Linked DNA regions of Notamacropus eugenii. The protein of the gene in region 1 purifies or fractionates together with the protein of each later gene. This does not show direct contact. Links are inferred from orthologs where the notes say so. Each region holds a gene or a part of one and is shown on either strand. Other genes may lie near its edges. The genes, in order: ESYT1, ATL3 and SYNJ2BP.

The links.
Region 2: the proteins of ESYT1 (region 1) and ATL3 purify together in Homo sapiens (affinity purification with mass spectrometry; 3 studies listed by BioGRID and IntAct, with this or other methods). This does not show direct contact. The link is inferred for Notamacropus eugenii from reciprocal best matches to the Homo sapiens genes ESYT1 and ATL3.
Region 3: the proteins of ESYT1 (region 1) and SYNJ2BP purify together in Homo sapiens (affinity purification with mass spectrometry; 4 studies listed by BioGRID and IntAct, with this or other methods). This does not show direct contact. The link is inferred for Notamacropus eugenii from reciprocal best matches to the Homo sapiens genes ESYT1 and SYNJ2BP.

The regions. Positions count from the first base shown.
Region 1 is NC_092874.1:231,388,486-231,396,282, forward strand, and holds the start of ESYT1 (extended synaptotagmin-1), read left to right. Parts: upstream 1-4,782; 5' UTR 4,783-4,870; coding exon 4,871-5,245; intron 5,246-7,259; coding exon 7,260-7,301; intron 7,302-7,530; coding exon 7,531-7,665; intron 7,666-7,767; coding exon 7,768-7,797. UniProt on the Homo sapiens protein: Binds calcium (via the C2 domains) and translocates to sites of contact between the endoplasmic reticulum and the cell membrane in response to increased cytosolic calcium levels.
Region 2 is NC_092873.1:16,546,009-16,553,544, reverse strand, and holds the start of ATL3 (atlastin-3), read left to right. Parts: upstream 1-4,527; 5' UTR 4,528-4,631; coding exon 4,632-4,689; intron 4,690-7,536. UniProt on the Homo sapiens protein: Atlastin-3 (ATL3) is a membrane-anchored GTPase that mediates the GTP-dependent fusion of endoplasmic reticulum (ER) membranes, maintaining the continuous ER network. It facilitates the formation of three-way junctions where ER tubules intersect.
Region 3 is NC_092872.1:297,624,714-297,631,721, forward strand, and holds the start of SYNJ2BP (synaptojanin-2-binding protein), read right to left. Parts: upstream 3,067-7,008; 5' UTR 3,002-3,066; coding exon 2,938-3,001; intron 1-2,937. UniProt on the Homo sapiens protein: Regulates endocytosis of activin type 2 receptor kinases through the Ral/RALBP1-dependent pathway and may be involved in suppression of activin-induced signal transduction.

The DNA.
Region 1 (7,797 bases):
TCTAATCCAACTCCTTTTGTAGATGAAGACATTAAAACCCACCAAGTTTATACAGGTGGTTAAGGACCAGGGCGAGGATAGTAATTTTCATATAATTATATAACACATCATTACAAAGCAAATGTCAATAAATTACATATTAATATGTTATAATCCTAGGAAGTTTCAGTATCTCCACTGCCCCACTCTTTAGAAATGATACCACTGGTAATTGCTGCCTCCCTCCCTTCCTCCCCTCCACCTTCCCAGTCTTTCCATTACCTCCAACCACCACCAGATGGCACGTAGGCAGTAGGTATGCCAAGGAGAGACAGGAAGATGAGGTGTTTATGAACCAGATGTCTGCATTGCAGTTTCTGGCCTTGGGTGCTTCTTAGCTCCAGCTGGAGGAGGGGAGTTGAGGTATCCAGGCTCTCTGTCCCCTTTGCCCATCATGGTAAGAGTCTAATTGTTCCGATGCTCAGATATGAAGGGTTAGAGAACCTCCAGAGGACAATTAAGCCTGCAGATACAGTCAGTCTGGGCTATCGAGTGAGTGAGTGTGTGAATGTGTGTCTGTGTGTGTGTGTGTGTGTTTATGTGTGTTGGGCTGGGGGCTTGCCTCTTATGCCGAGAGCTCTTTGAGGAATATCCCTGGCCTCCCCCGTTATTCCAATGCTCAGTAGCCCTTACCTTAAGAGCTTCTCCCCTCCCTGCAACAAAGCTGTTTCCTTCTGGAATGGAGCCATCAGTCACATGCAACCTCCCCCATGACCCTCTCCCCTGCCCTTCCCTCGTGTTCCAACCTCACTCCTCCTTGGGGGTGTGGAGGGATGGATGACAAGAGGTAGGAAAATGGAAACAGTCTGAGTCCTTAGCAGATTTTGCAGACTAAGTAAAGCTCCCAGATGCAATCAGCCTCGGGGAGTCAGGAAAAAAGGGAAATAGAAACCCCAGATTAGAGAACTGAGGTTAGGCTATTGGGTGGGGACAGGTTCTGAGCAGCTCTGATGAAACACTGCCAGAGGCTCAGAGTAGATGAGTAGATGTCAGATAAAATCCACACCTCGAAGAGCCAGATAATCTATCTGCCAGAGTGGTGCATCTTCTCTACTGCCCAATTCTACTTCTCCAGCACGGAGGAAGGGAGGGAGGGAGGAACTCAGACTCCGGACTGTGACTGAGATTCCCTGGCATTGCCAACTAATAATGAAACTTTGGCTACAAAGACCTGTGATTTCCTTGGTGTGGGTTTTCTCTCCACAGAGATCTTCAAAATTAATTATCACTTCATAGATGGTTTTCAAAGATTACTATTTAAAAAATTATCAGTCATCAGCCCACATGTTAAAGAGCCATTCAAACTTAACTTGGCTGGCCTTCAGCCTACAGGAAGAGGACTTTATCACTAATGTTTCCATTTCTCTATCCATGGTTCAATTGACAGGATGTTCTCTCCATCTGTGCAAGTCAAAACCCATCCACATGTTTTCATCCAGTGCTCCTGTTGTCCCACAGATTCTCCATAAAGAATCTAAATTACTTTACATTTCATGGGTACCTGGGCAACATTTTTACTGGCCATCTGTTATTCTTCACCCTTACTACATAACCAGCCCACTTCCTTTCCTGATCTTCCTTTTCTTGAACAACAACCTGTTAGTCTAAATAACTGACATTTATAGAGTTTCCCGAAGTACCTACATTATCCCATTTGGGTCTCCTAACAATCCTGGGAGATAAGTACCTCAGGGTTGCTGTGGAGCCAGTGCTGTGCTAAGTGTTAAAAGTGATTAGCTTCATTTTACAAATGAGAAACCTGAGGGTCATGGAGATTATAAAATTTGTCCAATTACCCAGCTAAGAATTTTCAGAGAAGGGATGCAAACCCATGTCTGTCCTGACTTTAAGTCCAGAGGTCACACGAAGAACTAGGCTCTCTCCACCATGCTTCTCACATAGATCTCTGGCAGGCCTATAGTGGCATCTTTCATTTCTCAGTCCCCAAACAATCTTCAACTCTCAACTCTCAACACCAAAAAAACCCAAAAACAAACCAATATTTTTTTTTCTGGGACCTGTGATTTCACTGATGTTAAGGAATTCTTAGTGAGGAAATTTTCTCTACCAATATAGATAGATAGCTTGCTTTGTGTATATTTGTTTGTATGTTGTCTAGTCCATTAGACTGAAAGCCTTGAGGTCGAGGATTGTCTTTTGCCTCTTTTGTATCCCTAGTACTTAGCACAGTGCCAGGCACATTGAAGGCACTTTTATCTTTCTGCTTTGAAGGTACTTAACAAATGTTTATTAATTAGCTGGTTCTTCAAGTTAGTATTAGAGAATTGTTGAAGGCATTGAGTGGTTAAATGATTTGTCCAGTCACTCAATTAGCACCTGTGAGAGCTGGGAGTAAAATTCAAGTTGTCTTGATTCAAAAGTGGTCCCTCTCCACCTGCCTCTCAACATTAGGAGAAACATCTTCATCACACCACCCTTTGGTCTACTTGAGTAAGAACTGAACTTAACTTATCCTGATTCGGTATGAGATCTTTAGGTTCTTAGAAACTCTCTAAAGGAAGCGTTACAACATCCTTGAGTCACTTAATATGGTGTCTGTTGATGCCAGAACAAGGTATTTTTGCATTTTAGTCAAATTTGAAAAGGTTCATCCTCTTTATTCGAATATAATGCTCTTTTTTTTTTAATGTATTTGTTTTCAGTTTTCAACAATCACTTCCATAAGTCTTGAACTTTCTCCCCCTCTCTTCTCCCTCCCCAGATGGCTTGCAATCTTATATGGATTCTATACATACATTCTTATTAAACACATTTTCACATTAATCATTTTTGAAATATAGTGCTCTTAAAGAATCTTGTACCATGAAGAATGGCATTTTAAGGCATTGAACTATAAGCATTTATTTCTAATAATAGATTTTATCAATATCTTTTTGTTTTATGTCACCGAGATTCCCTCCCCCCCTTAATGCTATCCATACCCTCTCTCAGAGAGCTAAAACAGTTTTTTGAAAGAAGAGAAAAAGATTCAGCAAAACCTGACACATTGAAAAAACATGACATTATGTGAAATGTGGTAACTGCATGAACCATCTACTTCTGCAAAGAGTGGGAGGAAGCGTCTTCTCATATCTCTTCTTTGGGGCCAAGCTTGTTATAATTTCGCAACATTCTTCTAAAAATGCATTTTTGTTGCTATTTTTTTCTATGTATGCTGAGGCAGCCCTTGTGTGTATTGTTTTCCTGGCTCTGCTTATTTTACCTTTTAGCACTTAACAAATCTTTCCAAGCTTTTCTTCATTTATTATGTTCATTGTTTCTTGTAGCACAGCAATATTCCTTTATATAAATATATCACAATTTGTCTAACCATTCTCCAATTACTGGACATCTATCTACTTTGTTTCCAGTCATTTTCTATCAGGAAAAGTGCCACTATAAATATTTTGGAGCCTTTTATTTTTGGCCTAATTTCTAATTACTTTCCAGAATCATTGTACCAATTCACAGCTCTACCAACAATGCACTAGTGTGTACCTACCTTCCCACAACCCCTCCAACATTAATTATTCCTCTTTTTTTTGCCCTCTTTGCTAATTTATTGGGTGTGAGGTGAAACCTGAGCTGTTTGGATTTGCATTTTTCTTATTATTGGTGGTTTGTAGTATTTTTTCATATGACTACTAATAGCTTGTAATTCTTCTTTTGGGAATTCTTTGTTCATATCCTATTGCCACCTCTCTATTGGGGAAGAGCTTTTAGAAATATAGGAATTTATTTTTAAAATATTTTTAAAATGTTGCTTGAAACGTTATTTCCTACCGTGCCTTACCCCTACTTCCACCAGAGTGCCTGGCACATAGTAGGAACCTAATAAATACTTATTGATTGATTTGATTTATCAATATCTCTGCTGCCTACTCACTATCAGCAATAAAGATTTAACCAATTCACCCTTTCCTGCTGCAATCCAGTCTGTTTCCTCCCACACTGCACGTGGCAAAGACAGAAATAAAGTATAAAGTAATCTTTCAGAGTTTTAAAAAGACCATTCTCCACCCTCTGATACTGTAGCTCCCGCAGATTTCGGATTAGGGATAGATAATCTAGTCTAGTCCAATCTCCTCATCTGACAGTGGAAGTCACAGAGATGGCAAAATGTCAGGAGTTGAACTGAGGGCCAAGGGCTTCAAATTCAGCGCTCCCTTTCCAGAGCATCACGCTGACATCCCCCTCAGGCAGATGGAAAACGAAGATGGGGCAAAACCCTTCATTCTAGTTCTCATCTCTGAAAGACCCCCTGGAAGCAATGGGTTTGGGCACCCCAGGCTTGAGGATAGGGGGAGGTCAGTATCCCCAGCCTATCCCTCTCACCCTATCCATATTTGGGGATAATGGCGCTTCTAAACATCTACAAAACTTTAGTTTAGCAAAGCCAGCTCAACCTAAACCAAAACAATTGAGGAGAGGAAGCTGGACATGGCGTCACCCACCAGCCCCACCCATCCCACGTGGGGACACCTCCTACTACTGGCCTCCCTTCTTTAAATTGTGCGCCACGCCTCCTCCTCTCCTTCAGACCAATCAGACTTCTCCCTTCCCCCTATCTCCCGGAGTGTCCCCGCCCAGTATTGCATAGCCAATAAGAGAGGGCTCTGCCCCTCTGGATTCCACACCTCCCCTCTAGGGGCGTGGTTTAGGCTCGTGGCTCCGCCCCAGTCTTTGGGCATGGGCCAATGGGAGCTGCCATAAAGGGGCGTGGTCTAAAGTAGCCGCCCCGCCCTCGGGGTTCTCGGTTGGGCTTGGGGGACAGGGGCAGCCAGGCGGGGCAGCGCGGAGCTGGGCTCCAGTGCGGGCGGGCGTTGGCACCATGGAGCGGCCCGTTGGAAAAGGTCTCGGCCCCGTGGCCGACCCCACTGACCAGCTCCCCGCGGAGCCAGCCAAACAGGACCCTAAACCGGCGGACCCGCCGCCGCCGCCTCAGCCACCCGGGGCAGCCGGTGAGGCGCTAGCGGTGCTGAGCTCCTTCGGGCGGAGGCTGCTAGTGCTGGTGCCCGTATATCTGGCCGGGGCCCTGGGGCTCAGCGTGGGCTTCGTGCTTTTCGGCCTAGCCCTCTACCTGGGCTGGCGCCGGGTCCGCGGTGGAAAGGAGCGGAGCCTGCAGGCGGCGCGGCAGCTGCTGGACGATGAGGAGAGGCTCACGACGCAGACCCTCTACCTGAGCCATCGCGAGCTGCCCGCTTGGGTGAGACAGCCCTCCGCCCCCCATCTCCCGCAGCCCGGGCCAGTCCCCCCCCCCCCAGGACCACCCCCTGCCGGACTTCTGGAGCCTCCTCCCGACCCCACCCCACCCCACCCCTCCATCCTCGAGCATCGCCATCCCCAGGACAGCTGCTCAGACTTAAGTCCATCCCTACAGCCCTAGCATCCTTAACTCTAGCGGGATCCAGATCTCCCGGAATCCGCCACCGCTCCCGCCAGAATTCCCTTCCCCCTACCCTTTTTCCACTGGACACTACGAAGGTCCCTTAGTCCCGAAGCTGTTAACTTCTCCCATTTTCGCTCACCGGAGCCCTGAACCTCCCCCCCCCCACCCCCCACTGCCCCCACACACACCTAGGCATCCCATATCAGACATACCACCTTCGCCGGACCACCTTCCCCGGACTACAGACCAGTTCCCACCACCACTCCCGCTGTGGGTGCCACCTCGTCTGCACTCTGTCTCCTTCCCCTCCCCCACAGGCATCTTCGTCACCCTCCCCACTGGCTCTGCTCCGAGGATTTCCCTGTCCTTCCCTCCTCCCTATACTGGGACGTTGTTACCTACTTTATTGTATGGCTCCCCCACCCATCCACTCAACTCTGGTTACGAGGACCCAGCCCTTCGGACGTGGACTTGTTTCTGCTCCCCTCCCTCGATCCTCCTTAGGCATCCCTAACCCCCTGGGTAGACCCTCCTTCTGTATCTCGCTACCTATGCATCAGGCCCCCAGCCTGGACTGCGGTAGTGATTGTGGTTGGCTGCAGAAGTCGGGGGCGGGGGGGTGGGGTGGGGATGGGGGAGGAGGAAAGGAGAGAGGGGAAGAGAGAGAGAGAAAGGGAGAGGGGAGGGGGATGTGTGCAGATGCTGCAGTGTCTGCTGTCCACACCCTTCCTCCACCTTCTGGCTTCAGCCCCACCCAGTCCTTCAGACCCTAGAGCTGGAAAAGTCTAGAGGTATAGGTGGGGTAGGTGAAGACCCAGAAATATTCCCTTTTTCTGCAGTGAAGGCACAGACCGGATGTAGCAGCCAAGGCCAGGAGGAGCTTTAGCGGGAAACCTAGCCTGAGCCCATAACCAAGCTTGGGCCCCTCCCTTTCAAACCCCCAGCAGAGTTGCCTTATCTTGAAGGGAGTCAAAGCTAGCGAAGACTGAGTGTCATCAAGAGTGACTCTGCTCTGAGGCAGTTTGGAACTGGAGTTCTGCCCTGGAGCCCAATCTTCTGGGCCAGGACTGGTATCCCAGTTCCTTCTCCCCACCCCCTCCATCCAGTCCTCTTTACCAGTTCCACGTCTCTGCCACTCCCACATCTCAATTGTGGAAACTTCTCCCTACCCCCCCTCCCCAGGAAAAGGGGGGCCTCGGGCCAATTCCCTTGTTATGTTTAGTTTAACCCGTTAGTCTCCCCAGGTGCTATAGGTTGGGAAAATGTAACTTCTAGGTACCCTTCTCATTCTCCTCTAGTGTTATGAGGAACGCTGTCCTAAGGACAGGATTCCTTTTCCTAAAGAATGTACCATCCCTTAGCCCAGCAGCTGTGCCTGCTGCCTCCCACTCCAAGGGAGTCATTAGAAAACAAAGGGGCTCCTGTGCTATCTGAGCCTTGACTTAGTACCCCTACAAGAAATCACGACTATCCCCCCAATTCTCTACACCCCTAGAATTGTCTCCCTGGAGTCTTTAGTGGAAGTGAAACTGCTTGTCCCTCTGGCCCCACCCTACTCAATAACAACAAAACAAGTACCTTGTCAGTGGGCATCCTGACACACAGGCATTATACAAGTACTTCCTGTCCCATTCTGATAGCACCTTCACAAGGACAGATGAAAGTTCTTGTAATTCAGGCATTCTTAACCCGGAGGTCCATGATATTTAAAAAAAATTCTGAGAAAAGTTCCATAGGCTTCACTAAGACTGGCAGAGGGGCCCATGTTACAGAAAAAAGGTTAAGAATCCCTGGTCTCAGGGGTCCAAATGTATGTTCTTCCTTCCTCCAGGTTAGCTTCCCTGATGTGGAGAAGGTTGAGTGGGTGAACAAGGTGAGTTTGCACATGGGTGGGTATAGGTCCTCTCTGATCAGTTGCTGAGACTTTGATTCCCTAGCCAGCCAGGACATGTTGACCCCTTCACTCCCAGCTAGAACCTAGTCTTGTCCTCCAAGTTTTCATTGGGATTGTAGCCATTTGGGGAAGTGGGTTCTCAGAGGGGTCTGACTACATGAGGAAGAGACAGTGAACCTCCACATGACTCTTCTTCTGTCATCCCAAGATTGTGGCTCAGGCCTGGCCCTTCCTGGGCCAGTATATGGAGAAGCTCTTAGCAGAAACAGTGGCCCCAGCTGTTCGAGCATCCAATACTCATCTGCAGACTTTCACATTTACTCGTGTGGAACTAGGTGAAAAGGTGAGGTGGATGGCATGGGGCATGGGAATAGGGAGGGTTCAATTCGGGGATCAGTGCACAGGGGACCAAATGTCTATTGCCTTCCATGTATTCCCTTCTCAGCCTTTACGTATCCTGGGGGTCAAGGTTCAC
Region 2 (7,536 bases), on another chromosome or scaffold:
GAAAGGAAGAGGATACATATTTCTATGGTGCCTACTATGTGCCAAGCATTTCTATAGTGCCTACTGTGTGCCCAGCTTCTTGGAAAACTTTTCTCCTTTGAGCCTCACAGCAAGCCTGGAAAGGAGGTGCTCTTATGATTCCCATTTTGCAGTTGGGGAAATTGAAGCTGAGACAGTTTCAGGGACTTGCCCAGGCTCAAACAGCTAGGAAGTGTCCCAGGCCAGATTCTGACTTAGGTTTTCTAGACCCTTGAAGCTAGGTGGTGTTCTAGGCTGATAGCCCCAGCCTGGAGTCAGGAAGACCTGAGTTCAAATCCAGCCACAGACCCTTCCTAGCTGTGTGATGCTGGGAAACCACTTCAGCCATTGGCCTCAGTTTCCTCATCTGTAAAATGAGCTGGAGAAGGAAATGGTAAAGCACTCCAGTATCTTTGCCAAGAAACCCCAAGTGGGGTCACAAAGTGTCAGATACAACTGAGAAAACAGCTAAACAAGAACTTCTGGACCCCAGGCTCTTGATCCTGTGCTCCTAGCTGCTTAATAGGTGCTGGCTGATTGACTAGATTGGTTGATCTATGGTTTGTTCTGTTCCCTGCTGGGGCAAACCCTCCCCTCCCCCGACTTACCAGGCAGTTATTCAGGGTTGTTATGCTCCCCTCTCCCCCAGTTCTCCAACCCTTCTGTCCAATCACCCTTCAAAGCCTTGAAGTTGGCAAGTGAAATTCTCAAGGCTGGGCCTCCTACATCAGACCCACAGTCCAGCAGCAGGCCCAGACTGGAGTCCTTCCAGTTTGCTAGGACTTGCCACAGCTTGAGCTCTGCTGGCACTGCCTATGGAACCCTGGGTCACCCACAAATCACGATGAGTCATGGGAGAAGGCCTTCAGTGGAGGAAAGGTTAATGGGACAGTAAAGGACCCTGTGCACCTGAAAACTCCCTTGTGGCTGGGGGTGGGGGGAGGTCAGAGGGATATTTACTTGTGCCCTGTGCCTGCACCCCTGCCTGGGCACATTCCAGCTGCTCAGGCAGCTGCTTCTAGACGGCCTATTTCTGGGTTGTGCAGCCACCACCGCCGCCACCACCACCACCACCACCACCACCACCACCACACAGATATGTGAGCATCTGTATATATGAGTGTGTGTGCATTTGTGTATATATGTGTGTATTTGTGTGAGTGTGCCATTTCAGGGCAGCCCAGCAGAGAGGGCAGGGTCAGTGGCATGGAAAGCAGGAGTTCCTTCTGGGTCCACACCCAGATATTTCTTCTTCTGCCAACTTCTGAACCTTCCCAGCCCTGCCATTTATGACTCCTAAAACTCTTCCCTCTGGGAAGGCCTCACCTGTACAGTGGGGGCTGGAGTGGAGGATCTCCAAGGTTGGAAGTCTGTGGGTCTAAGGAGAAGCCAGCCCCTGGATTCTATTATGAGATTTCACAGGCAAAAAAAGGAGGACCATAGCCTCCTCCCTGGCCTCCTCCCCACCTTCCTCCCCGGCCTCCTGTCTGGCCTCCTCTCCTCCAACCCCCTGGTTTTTCTTTGGTGTGTGCTTTGTATTCTCTTCAGTATAGACCCATTGCCTCCTGGCCAGGCATGAAACTCCTGGAGGGAAGGAATGGATTCCTTTTGGTCTTGATATGTTCAGGACCTTGGTGGTGCCTGGCACATAGTAGGCACATAGATGGTGATCAGTGCTTGTTGACAGATTGATTCATGGTCAGCGGTTCTAGACATGGCTCTTGCTGAGAAACCCTGGGCAGGTCACTGACCCTGTTTGTGTCTCAAATTCCTCATCTGTGGAATGGGAATGATAACATCAGTCATTCCTCTCTCAAGCAGCAGTTTGGAGGATCAACTGAGATAATATTGATAAAATACATTGCAAACTTTTATTCTTGTTCAGTCATGTCCGGCTTTTAATGATGCCATTTCTTGGCAGAGATAGTGGAGTGGTTTGTCATTTCCTTCTCCAGCTCATTTCACAGATAGGGAGATGGAGGCCAACAGGGTGAAATGCCCTGCCCAGGGTCACACAGTTAGGAAGTGTCTGAGGCCAGATTTGAACCCAGGGAGATGAAACTTCCCTGTTCCCAGTCCAGGGCTCTGTGCACTGTGGCTGCTGCCCCCTAGCTGCCCGTTGCAAACTTTAAAGGGCTATAAAAATGCCAGTTCTCATGATAGACCCTTACCATTGTCTTTTGTGTTATACTGTATTATGCTCTGCACACTGCTTCACAGCATGTATATGTACATCATGGCAGGCAGGATGACAGAGTCAGGAGAAACCTGGGTTCAAATGCTGCCCCTGGCCCTTACAGGCAGGGTCACAATGGCTAAGTCATTTGGTATTTCATTAGTGTTTACCTCCGTAAAATGGGACCAGGAATACTTGTGTCTCCTGCATCACAGGGCTGCTGCCAATGTTGAATGAGATGATGTATTTAAAGAATTCCAGGCATCAGCGATTATTATAAATAGTCTCCTGTGACCTCAATACTCACCAGAATAATAAGAATTCACGCTAATAAAGTGAGTAAAGTGTTTTTCCTAATGTCAGTCACTTGAAGCAGCTTGTTCAGCTCTTACCTGAACCCATTTCAACAAGGAAGAAGCTATTGCCCAAGCCCACGATGCTGCCCAGGGGCAAGATTAGAACTCAAACCCAGGTCTCTCCTGACTCTACTTGTCTGTTGAAAAGGCCACTCTGAGCCACCATGGACTGGACAAAATCACTTAGCAACCAAATATTTATTGAGTAATGACCGTATACACAGTCCTGTGTTGAGTCCTGACTGGGATCCAGTTTAGGTAAGGAAGAGGCCCTGTGCTCACTGAGTGGATGAACAAGAACCAGCATTTGGGCACAGCCTCTGGGAATTGGAGGCAGCGGTTCAAAGGGCACTCCTTGTCTGGGCCTCACTGTGTCTTGTAAAATGAAAGAGCTGGACTATGCCTTTCAGCTCTATGTTTGCTCCTGGGTCCCACATTTGTACCCGATTCCTCAGGCTCATTTGTCTGCGTAGAGCCTGAAAGAAAGTGGTCAGGAGGGTGTGTGTCTGTGTGTGTGCCTCAGGTCTGATGACCCAGAGGATGGATGGCGATCATTAAGCAAAGCCAGCGGCAGAGAAGGCTCTTTTCTAGGGTGCCTGAGGGCCACTAATGACACAGCAATTATCCTGGAGACAGCCTGGATCATGACTGTGCTCCTGGAAGTGAGGTTACCCGTCTTTATCGCAGTTCAGTCACATCCTCTTCCTCCTCCCTGGGATCCGTGCAATTTTGAAAATACAGCAATGGTTCACTTGTAGGCTTATGGGAAGGGTCCTTAGAGATCATCTAGTCTCACCCCTCGTTTTACTGGAGAACAGAGGTCTGGGGAAGAACAGGGACTTGCCCAAGGTTACACAGACAGTTGGTGGTCACGGAGATCAGAAACCAGTACAGAAGGGCAGCCTATTTCTGTGGCCTGAGAGTGTTTCAGGACCAAAACTCTCTCCGGTAGAATGTGATTGTTTTCATTTTCCTTTGATTGCTGGTTCTAGGTGCAGCGTTTGATTAGGTGGGTACTCTGTCAATGCTTGTTAAATTAAATGGAATTGAATACGGCTGGCCTGGGCTCCTGGCACATTACTGTGCCCTTAGTAAGTGCTCATTGACTGACCGAGTACTGAAGGTCACTGAGCCCGAGGCAGGGAATTTAAGTTCAGCTGGGGCCTGCGCTTGGCTCTGCCAACCTTCACCCTTGTGCTCTTGGGCATGACAGAGGACGTCCCTGGGCCTCGGTTTACTCGTTTGTAAAATGAAGGGTTTGGGTGAAGCTTGGCTGCAGACAGCCCCAGATTTAGCAGCAGAAGGCCTTCTCTGCCCTGTGCTGGCGGTGGACACTGAATCTCTTTGGGCCTCATCTACAGTGTTCCCCTCCCCGGGGCTGGACAGGCTGATCTCTCCAGCCTGGCATAGCTCTAGGCCCCCACTGTCTCCCTCTTCCTTTCCCCCTCCCCCACCCTCCCCTTGGCCTGCTGGGAGTGGTAGTTTAGTGTCACACTAAGGCGAAGAGATCTGGTTACGCGGCCTATGTATCCCCACTAGAGGGGATGCCGCTGGAGGGCAAGGCCTGCTTTTCTTTATTTTGAGCTTTGCAGCAGCAGCCCTTCCTGGCACAGGCCTGGACCCTCGTGGGTGCTGCTTTGGACACGAAGCACCGGACACGCGGTCCAGCCCGCAGGAAGCACCTAGGCAGGCCACCCGCTGAGCGCCTGCGTCGCCGCTTGGCCTGCTGGGAGTTATGGTTCCGTGGGAGGCTGAGCCCCGGAGAGTCGAGCTTCCCTTCTTTGCTGCCGTGATTCCGCATGGACTGCTGGGAGTTGTGGTTTCTTGGGAGCCCCAGAGCCTAAGTGAGCGCCAGAGTGGTACTACGTTTCCCAGGAGGCTGAGGTGGGCGGGGCTGCTGCGCGGGCCTCGCCGCCGGCCGGGCCCGGGTGCGCGTGCGCAGCCCGTTTCTTCTCGCTGCCGAGTCCCCGCCCATTTCCCGCCCAGCTCCGCCTGCCCGCCCTCTCGGCCGCCCTCCCTCAGGCCCGGCCCGGCCCGGCCCGCCCTCCCCCTGCCGCCCGGGCTGATGAGGAGGCGGCTCCATGTTTTCTTTTCTGGGAACGGCGGCGGCGGCCTCATCAGAAAGCGGGGAGAACACAGGTAACCCCACGCCCCCCGAGCCCCGGGCCCTTCCTGCCTCAGTTTCCGCCCCTGTAAAAGAAGGCCGCAGGACTGAGTGGACTCGGGGGTCCTCGGCCCTCTCTGCCCCTCAGCTCCTCTTCCGTAAAGGGAGGGGCTTAGACCGGGTGGTCTCCAGGCCGTCCCGGCTTCAGTTTTCCCGTCTGTCTAATGAGGTCGTTAGACCAGGACCTCCGATCAGACCCCTTCCCCTTCCCGGGCCTCAGTTTACCCTTCTATTGAAGAGCCGAGGCTAGTTGGCCTTTGGGGGTCCTTCCCCTTCTTGGGCCTCAGTTTCCCCCCGTGTACAACGAGGGGGTTGGCGGAGCTGGCTCCGTTTGTAAGTTTGTGCGTGGCTCCTCCCCCTGCTTTGGTGTTGGGCTTTTTCCCGAGTAGGTGGGTTCCTTCTCTCCACCCCCTCCATTTCTCCGCGTGTTCCTGCTTGTGCCCCGGAGCAGTAGGGTGAGGGGGCCCCTCCCCTGTGGCCCCCTGCCGGGTGACATGGGGAATGGGGCATCCTTCCTGGTGATCAGGAGACTGCCCTCTTTGGGGTGGGTTGGAGTTGAAGTTTCCCGTCTGAACTTGATTTCTACCGGTCCTGTTTGCCCCACCCTTGGGCACCGAGCACAGTAGTGAGTGACCCCACCAGGGGGTGATCCCCGTTAAAGGTCCTCCTTCCTTTGTAGACTTTTCCATCCCATTGGACTAGAAAGTTTGAAGCAGATGCTTTTGGCCATATTAGGGTGGAAGGATGGAGACAGGGAGATGCTGAAGGGCCCGGGCTAGTCATTACAGGCAGAATTCCTCTTAGGAAAGAAGACAGGGTTTGGAATCCAGACCCTTTGAAACCCAGGCCCTGCCTTCTGGTACCAACCTGTGTGTCACCTAGGGCAAGGCTCCCCTTCCTGCGCAGGAACATTGAACTGAGGCCCTTTTTCATGGCAGCTGTGGTCCTGCCACCTGGAGTCTGCTTGCTAGCTGTTACTCAACTTTTATGAAACCTGCCCTGGGAATGGTGAAACTTAAATTATTTTTAACCTGAATCTTTCTACCTCAGGGGACTGAAACCAAAAGTGTGGTAGAGAATTTGGTGTTCTATCAGGTTTTGTTTTTTTTTTTAGCTGACGAAAAGAATATGAACTTCAGTTGGAGAAAATTTTCTAAAGTTTTTGAGTACGTTTCCTTTTTTTTGAAAAGAGAGCAAAACGACAGTCATTGAAGTACTGACACTCCCCCCTCCCCGCTTTTTCTTTGTGACATTTGGAAGTTTCTACAGGTTCCATTTGTGAACTTTCTAGACTTAAAAGATGAGTAAGGAGCCTGGGTAGGAAAACTTCTCCAAAGCCAACAAAGTTCAGGTCCCCTGGTTTGAGGAGTTGTATTGAAACTGTAGTGGAAAGGAGGAGAAAACACTAAGTAGGGGCCCCAGGGCAGGCCTCCTGCTTCCACTAGGAGCAGCCTTTTTTTAGGGAGTCACTTTTAATGGATGAAATAATAAAAGGAAGAACTGCAGTTTTACAAATTTGTTTTAGAATTTTAGCTGTGTTCTCAGTCTGTGATTTTAGAGAATTGCCTGAGGCCCTGAGAGGTTAAGTCATTTGCCCAGGTCTCTGGTCCACTGCCTGTAATAGGTGAGATTTGAGCCCAGATATTCTGGACTCCAAGTGTTATACTGCCTTTTCTGTCACATATATGATAATGGGGGGAAAAGTCCCAAAAGGACATAGTATGGTATGGTATAGTATAGTATAGTATGGCATGGTACCGTATGAGATGGTACAGTATGATACGGTACAGTATGGTATGGTATGGCATGGTACGGATAGTGGTGTGGGGGCTGCCAGACCTGGCTACACATTGACTTAGCAAGCCACGTATTAACATCATCTGTGCTTTATTGTATTTTTACTTATTTTGTTAACTATTTCCCAGTTACATTTTGTTCTGGTTTGGCAGCTGTGCCTCAGGCCCAGGCCTCTGCTGTAGTGGATAGAGGGGTAGTGCAGCCATGAAGAGCTGCATTCAAGTTCTCACTGACACATCTTGGCTGTATGACCTTATCTTGGTGCTCTAGGCAGGGGTGGGGAATCTGTGGCCTCAAGGCCCTCAAGTTTGGCCCTTTGACTAAATCCAAACTTCAGAGAACAAATTCCCTTAAGAAAAGGATTTGTTCTATAAAACTTGGACTCATTCAAAAGTTCAAAACCAAGGACTCAAAGGGCCACATGTGGCCTTGAGGCTGCAGGTTCCCCACCTCTGTTCTAGGAAGCTCCTGAAGATTCTTAAGTTATAGAGAAGGAACTAACTGCATCAGTTGAGTTTTTTCTCATCTGGAAGGGCTTCACACCAATGAAATCATAGGTTGGTCCTTCTCCCTTAGAATTCCAGGATTCCCACACTTAATACTTTGTTTTACGAAAACGGCTTTGTCTTGTGATGGATGGCTCTTAAAGTTCTCGTTGTTAACATGACACTCTAGGAAAGGAAACTTTTCTTCGCTTGGCAATTCTGTTCATGACTGTTTTCGTATCTGACACTGTAACCTCCTACTGCCTTCTAGGATCAAACTGAGAAAGAAAGCATTTTGTAAAGCATCCTGTCAATGTTAGCTAGTATTATTTTGGAAGAATTAGACTAGGGCAAATTCTTGAAAAACAAAACAAAACAAAACTAAGGTACCAAACAATAGTTTAAATACATTTTAGCATAGAGAGAGCACCAGCTGTGGAGTCAGCCTCCCTGGGCCTAAGTTTCCTCATCTGTAAACTAAGGGGGTTGGACTAGGTGACCTCTGAGATCCCTTCCAGCTCTAGAGTAAGGATCCTGTTT
Region 3 (7,008 bases), on another chromosome or scaffold:
AGGAACAATAGATATCCCAAATGTGAAGTCTGGAAAAAATTTAGGAGCCCTTCTATTGTGCTGTAATAAGTGACTAAATGGATTAAATCCCTACAAGTAAACAGCTAGGAATTATTCACTAATGGGCAAGTGACTTGCTATAATACAGAAGGAAAAGTTTTCCATACATTGTCTACTCTCATCTATGAATTAATCTGCCCCACTTCATCCGTGCACGTGCACATACACACACATGCATACACACACATGCACACACACACACATCCCAGATTACTCACTTCCCCTCTGCATCCATTGGGAACTGATTCAGGAAGAGAGCACAAACAAACAGAAGTCAGGAGCCCTGATTTTTTTTGTCCCATCTATGCCAATAACTTGCCGTGTGACCTTGAGCTAGTCACATTTTCCTGGACTTCAACTTTCTTATCTCTAAAACAAACAAATTGGATAAGATGATATCTAAGGTCCCTTTCCAGCTCAAAAATTAATATTAGTCAGTTTGTGACATCTGCCTCAAAATCAAGCTGGAACAGACTCCAGGTCACCGCTGGTAATCTGCAGCTATCTGTAAAATTAACTATGAACTTTCAGCAAAGCCTCTGGGGCAAATGTTGCTAGCCCTATTATCATTACCCAACCCAGGTCCCTTTAATTTTCTCCCTTAAAAATCAAAATCCCACCCACTCCTTCTGTCTTTTCCTTTCTTAATAGTCCTGTTCCCTTGCCTATGCCTTTGGTCTTCTGAAGCCACTGCTTAGCCACTCTATGGGCACTGATTGCTGAAAATTCTGTAAATTCATTCCAGACATCAATTCCCATCCTTCCAGAGTAATGGTCTCCCAAGTGGGGGCTGTGGCCTGATTCCAAGAAGTATGGGATCAACCAATCAGAGGGCTGATCCCAATGAGATCCAATCTTCCTGCTTCTGAGCCCAGCATGGGTCCTTCTGGGGAGTTGTCATCTAACCACTACCTAGTACCTATAGCAGCAAGTACTTAAACGCCACTGAAAAGTTCTCACCACCACCCCACCCCACCAGCATACCCATACCCTGTCCCTAAAATCATTTCATGGCTTGGGCAGGCACTGCTGGAGAAGATAACACCAAGTTATCTTCCTGTTATGTTCCAATCTTCACTCTCCCTCACTCCACGTATCTTATTAACAAGTCTTGTCATTTCTACCTCTTCATTTCTCTTAATGAAGCCACTACCTGAGTTCAAGCACTCTTCACCTCTAGACAGAATTACTGAAATAGTTTTCTACTTGGTCTCGCCTTACTGAATCTTACACACAACTACCCAATAACTTCCCTCAACTCAATAAATTCCAGTGGCTCCCAAATGACTTTGGGATCATATATTACTTCATCTTTATCTTGCCCTTTCAAAATTTACATTTTCATGCAAGTTTGATAGCATAATTATTATTATTACTTATTATAATATATAATAATGTAATTAACATAATATATAATAAAATATATTATATTATATTGTATTATTACATATTATTATTTATTACTTATTACAGCAGTACATGCATATAATTTGTAAATAAATATACACATATTGGGAATGTATGCTTGATTTTTTTTCCTATGGATAGCAGTGTGCAATTCAAAAAGTCTAAGAGACCACTGTCCTAGAGAACCAATACCTTAATTTTTTTCCTGAAAGGGTTGTGCAATCCAAACAGTCTAGACCACTGTCCTAAAGTACTCCTATCTTAATTTTTTTTTTTCGGAAAGGGGTGTGTAATTCAAAAAAAAAAAAATCAAGAGACCACTATGCTAGAGAACCAATCCCTTCAGGATAAGGAGAACATACAACTCTGAACCTCAATAGGAAGTTCATGAGATAGGGGCGGGACCTTTCTGGAGAGCTTGCTGGTTTCTAAAGATCTAAGAAAATCAGGCATAACCATCTTTCTAATTAAAAACATCCAAGTCTACCGTGTGCAGATGCAAACATGAAGAGCCCAGCCGTGTGGGGCCAGGCACTGGGCACCGGGCACCGCCGCGCCACCTCTACGCCCCTGCCCCTGGGAGACTCCTCCGAAGAGCCGCCGGCACCGCGGGCTCACTCGGGCCTAGGGGGGGCTCCAGTGACTGCTCGGCCGCCACACGCCGGCACTCAGGGCGAGGCTGCGTGCGCAGGCGGGTGGTCGGGCTGCGGGGGGGGGGGGGAGGGGAGGGGTCGGGGGTGGGGAGAGGGGAGGAACGGGGGGGGGGGGGGGAGGGGCAGGGCCCGCCGCCCCGCGAGCAGCTGACCTTGGGCGGCCGGCTTCCTCGTCCCTAACCAGCTCGGGCTGCCCTAGGGGCGCTTTCAAAGCGCCTGGGTCCACGGCAAACCTGATTAAAAGCGCGGGGGATCGACTGAGTGACTCAGTCGCTCTACACACTCTTAATTAGTAGTGGGACTCTTTAAAAAAAAAAAAAAGAATTTATACAAGGGGGCAAATGAATTTTCATGCTAGATTCCAGAGAACCTCGGTAACGGAGATTTTTAAAAATAAATATAAAAAGCTCTGGAAGTTGAGGGCCAAGGCGATGGGGGGGGCCGCGGGGGGGCGATGAGGGGGCCGGAGGGGGGCGGGGGGGGCGGGGCGGCCGCCGCGGGTGAATCGCCAAGGGCAGTACGCCTCCCACCTTTAATCCTCCCTCTCCCCGGAGGCGCCGTGACGCACGGGCAGCTCGGCTGTGCCAGGCTGCGGCCAGGGCAGGGGCTCCTTCCTCAGCCAAGGGTGGACGCCAGGCTACCAGCAGATCCCCCTCCACGAGCGGGAAGGGGTTATACTGATAAGAGGCCCGCGGCCCGACCAAGAGGAGGCTGGGGGTCGGCGTGGGGCTGAGGGAGACTTCTCGTGGCGTGGCGGGAAACCTCAGGCGGCCCCTTTCCCCCCTCCCCCATCCCATCCCCAGCTCCCACCAAGTACCTGAGGGTCCTCGGAAAAGATTAATCTCTTCTTCCGTGACCAGATAGTCCACTCTTCCGTTCATACTTTACGCAGGGCCCAGGGTTTTCCTTCCCCCGACCGGATTCACCCGCCCGTCGTGTTCACGGGACTGAAGGTGAAAAAAAACCCAGCTGCAGCCGCAGCACTTTCGGTTTCATCAGCCTCCCCGGACAGGAAGGGGCGGATGGGAAACACCGGGAATTCTGGGGAATGTAGTTCCCGGGCTTGTCCTCCTCCTCCCCACCCCCACCTCCCTAGGCTTTGCACTGTGGGTGGCTTTGTTGGGAGGGGCTTTCTTTGTTAAGTGAGAGAAGAAGCACCAGTTGCTAACGGGACCCTGTACATCTGTGGCTCACTTTATCCTCAATAACACATTGGGGGATTGATTCCCCAATAAGACTGGGGAATTTTATAGGCGGGGAAACCAAGGTTGAGCCTGTTAGTTGTTTAATAATGCCAATAAGGACAGCTAACATTCATCTATTTCTCACTCTGTGCCAGGGTGTACTAAGCACTTTACAGTTATTATCTCATTTGAGCCTCACAACAACCCTTATTAGCCCCATTTTACATATGAGGAAACTGAGGCAAGAAAAGTTAAGTTACTGGTGCAGGGTCACTTACTTAGTGTCTGGGACCAAATGTGAACTTAGGTCTTCTTGATTCCTGGTCCAGTGGGCAGGGTACCCTAGGCTCCCACATCACTCAATACTGCAGTGAAGGGCCTTGGTTTCCTTATATGTTAAGAAAAAAAAGGATGCCTTAACAGGGTTGTATGAGGTCCAGATGATCCATTAGACTGTAAACTCCTTGGTGGCAGAGGCTGTCTTTGGCTTTTTTTTTTTTTTTTGTATCCCCAGTGCTTATTGATTGAAATGTTTGTTAGGGAAAAGGGAATAAGAATATAGTGTCAGATGCTTTACAAATATTCTATCCCTTGATCTTCACGGCCACACTAGAAAGTAGGTGCTACCATTATACCCATTTTACAGTTGAGGAAACTGAAGCGAAGTTAGGTGACTCGCTCAGGGTCACACACCTGTTTAGTGTCTGAGACCATATTTAAACTCTGATCTTCCTGACTCCAGGCCCCAGCGTAGGTAAAACCTTAAAGCTCAATAGAAATGTTAGCTGTTCACATAGTAAACATTTAGTGCTTGTTTTCTGAATTTGTTTCAATTAAATGTTTAATCCTATAAGCTATTGTTTGTTGATATCTTTTAATTTTACATCACTCTTGTTACCCGAGCCATCCTTAATGACAAAAAAAAAACAAAACAAGAATCACTATTGATCGGAGAAATGCAAATCAAAACACCTCTTAGGTACCACATCACACCTATCAGATTGGCTAACATGACAAAACAGGAAAATTATAAATGTTGGAGAAGATGTGGGAAATTGGAACACTAATGCATTGTTGGTGGAGTTATAAACTGATCCAACTATTTTGGAGAGTAATTTGGAGCCATGGAACTATGCCCAAAGGGCTATAAAAATATGCTTACCCTTTGACCCAGCAATACTACTTCTAGGGCTGTATCCCAAAGAGATCAAAAAAATGGCAAGGTTGTACAAAAATATTGATAGCAGCACTTTTTGTGGTGAAAAAGAATTGGAAATTGTGGTCCATTCCATTGGTTATAATTCTTTACATCATGACTAATGTGAAGATATGTTTAATATGAATGTATATGCAGTGTTGGGGAGGGGGGGAGAGGAAGAAAATTTAAAACTCAAAAGCTTGTGGAACTCAAATTTGAAAACTAAAAAAAAAAGGAAAAAATAGTTCAGGAAAACTAACCAACATATGAAACGGTCGATATTATAAGTAGTGTTTTTGACACCCATAGTTCCTCCACCTGGGAAAAAAAAAAAAAACTTGGAGGGAGGAAAGTACATTCTCATATCTCCTCTTTGGAGTCAAATTTGGTTATGGTAATTTCCCAGCATTCAGTATCTTTTTTTTTTTTTTTAAATAATGTTTGTTGACTAACATATTATGCTAGAAAGCTATTCCAGCAGGACACTCAGCTGGAAAGTCTTTAAATATGGGCCTGTGACAGCCTGTGTCAATTGTCTTAGGACCAGCTTAGATAAATTTAGAGAGGCTTATCCCTAGAAAATTGACCACCAGCTGATTAATTGTTTGGCCAAAGCAGCCCATGTAACCATCTGCTAAGGAGCCTATGGTTGAATTCAGTATGACTGGAGGGATTACCCAGAGGAGTGAAATCAAAGATTCTTAAAACTTAGTAAAAAGCCAGATTGTCAGAACACTGGCCCTTTAGCCTGGTAGAGGAAGCCTATCGTAATGGATAGTGTTCTGATTTCTAACCTAGTGGTGGTTTGGATGTCTGCTTCAAATCCTGGCTCTGCTACTTAACACCGTAGTGACCCTGGGCAATAACAACCTCTCCCAGGCTCAGTTTTCTCTTATTAAGTGGTGATAATAGTAGCAAATACTTTACAAGATTGTTTTAAGACTTAAGTGAGGTATTTTATTAAAGTGTTTTGTAAACCTACTTTGCTTACCATCACAAAATGACATACATATATGTGTATATGTATACATATACATATATTACATATACATACATATACACATACATATATACACACATATATACATACATGTATATACATAATCTAATGTAATCTAACATAAGCCCTAATCTCTCCTGAGAGACATAATCCTTAACTATCAATTATCTGCTATGCATCTCAAACTCAGCATGTCCAAAACTGATCTCAGACCTGGGCTATAAAACCCCCCAAAGTAGTTACCACTCTTATTCCAAATTCAACGTGTCCAAATCAGAATTCATTCTCTTTCTCCCCAACCCTACCCCAAATTTCCCTCTTCTCTTGAAAGCACCAGGATTCTTCCAGTCTCCCAGGTTTGTAACCTTGGCATTATCCTTGATTCCTCACTCTCTTTCACCTTACATTCTAACCAGTTACCAAATCTTGTTCTTTCTACCTTTCTGTCTCTCATATCTGACCTCTTCTCTCTACTCCTACAGCTGAACACCTTAGCTCAAGCCTACAGACTATTACAACACACTCCTAATGGGTCTGCCTGCCTTAAGTCTCTCCATCCTCCATACTGCTGTCAAAGTGGTTTTCTTCAAATTCTGATCTGATCATATCCCCTGCTCAGTAAACTCTAATGGCTCTATATTGTCTCCAAGATAAAATATAAACTGTTATGTTTAACTTTGAAAGCCCTTTGCAACTTGGCTCCAGCTGATCTTTTCAGCTTCACTAGACAGTACTCCCACACTCTGTAATCTAGTCAAACTGGTCTTTTTTCTATACACAACATTCCATTTCCTGTCTTTGTGCATCTGTACTAATTGAAATGCAACAAAAAATATTAAAACAGAGTTGAAATATTGAAAAAGAAAAGAAAGCTAAAGTAACTGACTTAGAAAGCAGATCACAGAGATTCAATTTAAGAATCACTGGACTATCTGAAAACCATGAGCAAGAAAGAGAGGGAGGGTTAAAGGAGAGAGACGCAGAGACAGAAACAGAAATATTGTAAATCATATTCCAAGAACTCATGAAAGAAAACTGTCCAACTGTCTTAGAATCAGAGGGCAAAGTAAAAATAGAATCTACTAATCACCTCTTAAAAAAAAACAAAACACAAAATGAAAACTCCCCAGAGTTTTAGCCAAAATCCAGAGCTTCTAGATTAAAGAAGAAAAAAAAAAACAGGCATGTTGTCAGAAAGAGTTAAAGTACTAAGAAACCTCAATCAGGATCATACAAGGTTTACCATCTACTCTATAAAGAACTGTAGAACAAGGAATCTAATATTCCAAAAGGCAAAAGATATAGGCTTGCAATCAAGAATAATTTACTTAGCAAAAACTGAGTGTAACCCTACAGGGGAAGAAAAATGGGTCTTTATTAAAAAGCCTATGGCATTACACTACTGCTGTTTTTTTCTGTTACACTACTATTTTATAGGACACTTCCAAGCATTTTTAATGAAAAGCTTAGTAGAAATTCTGAACTGCAAACACAAGATCAAAGAGA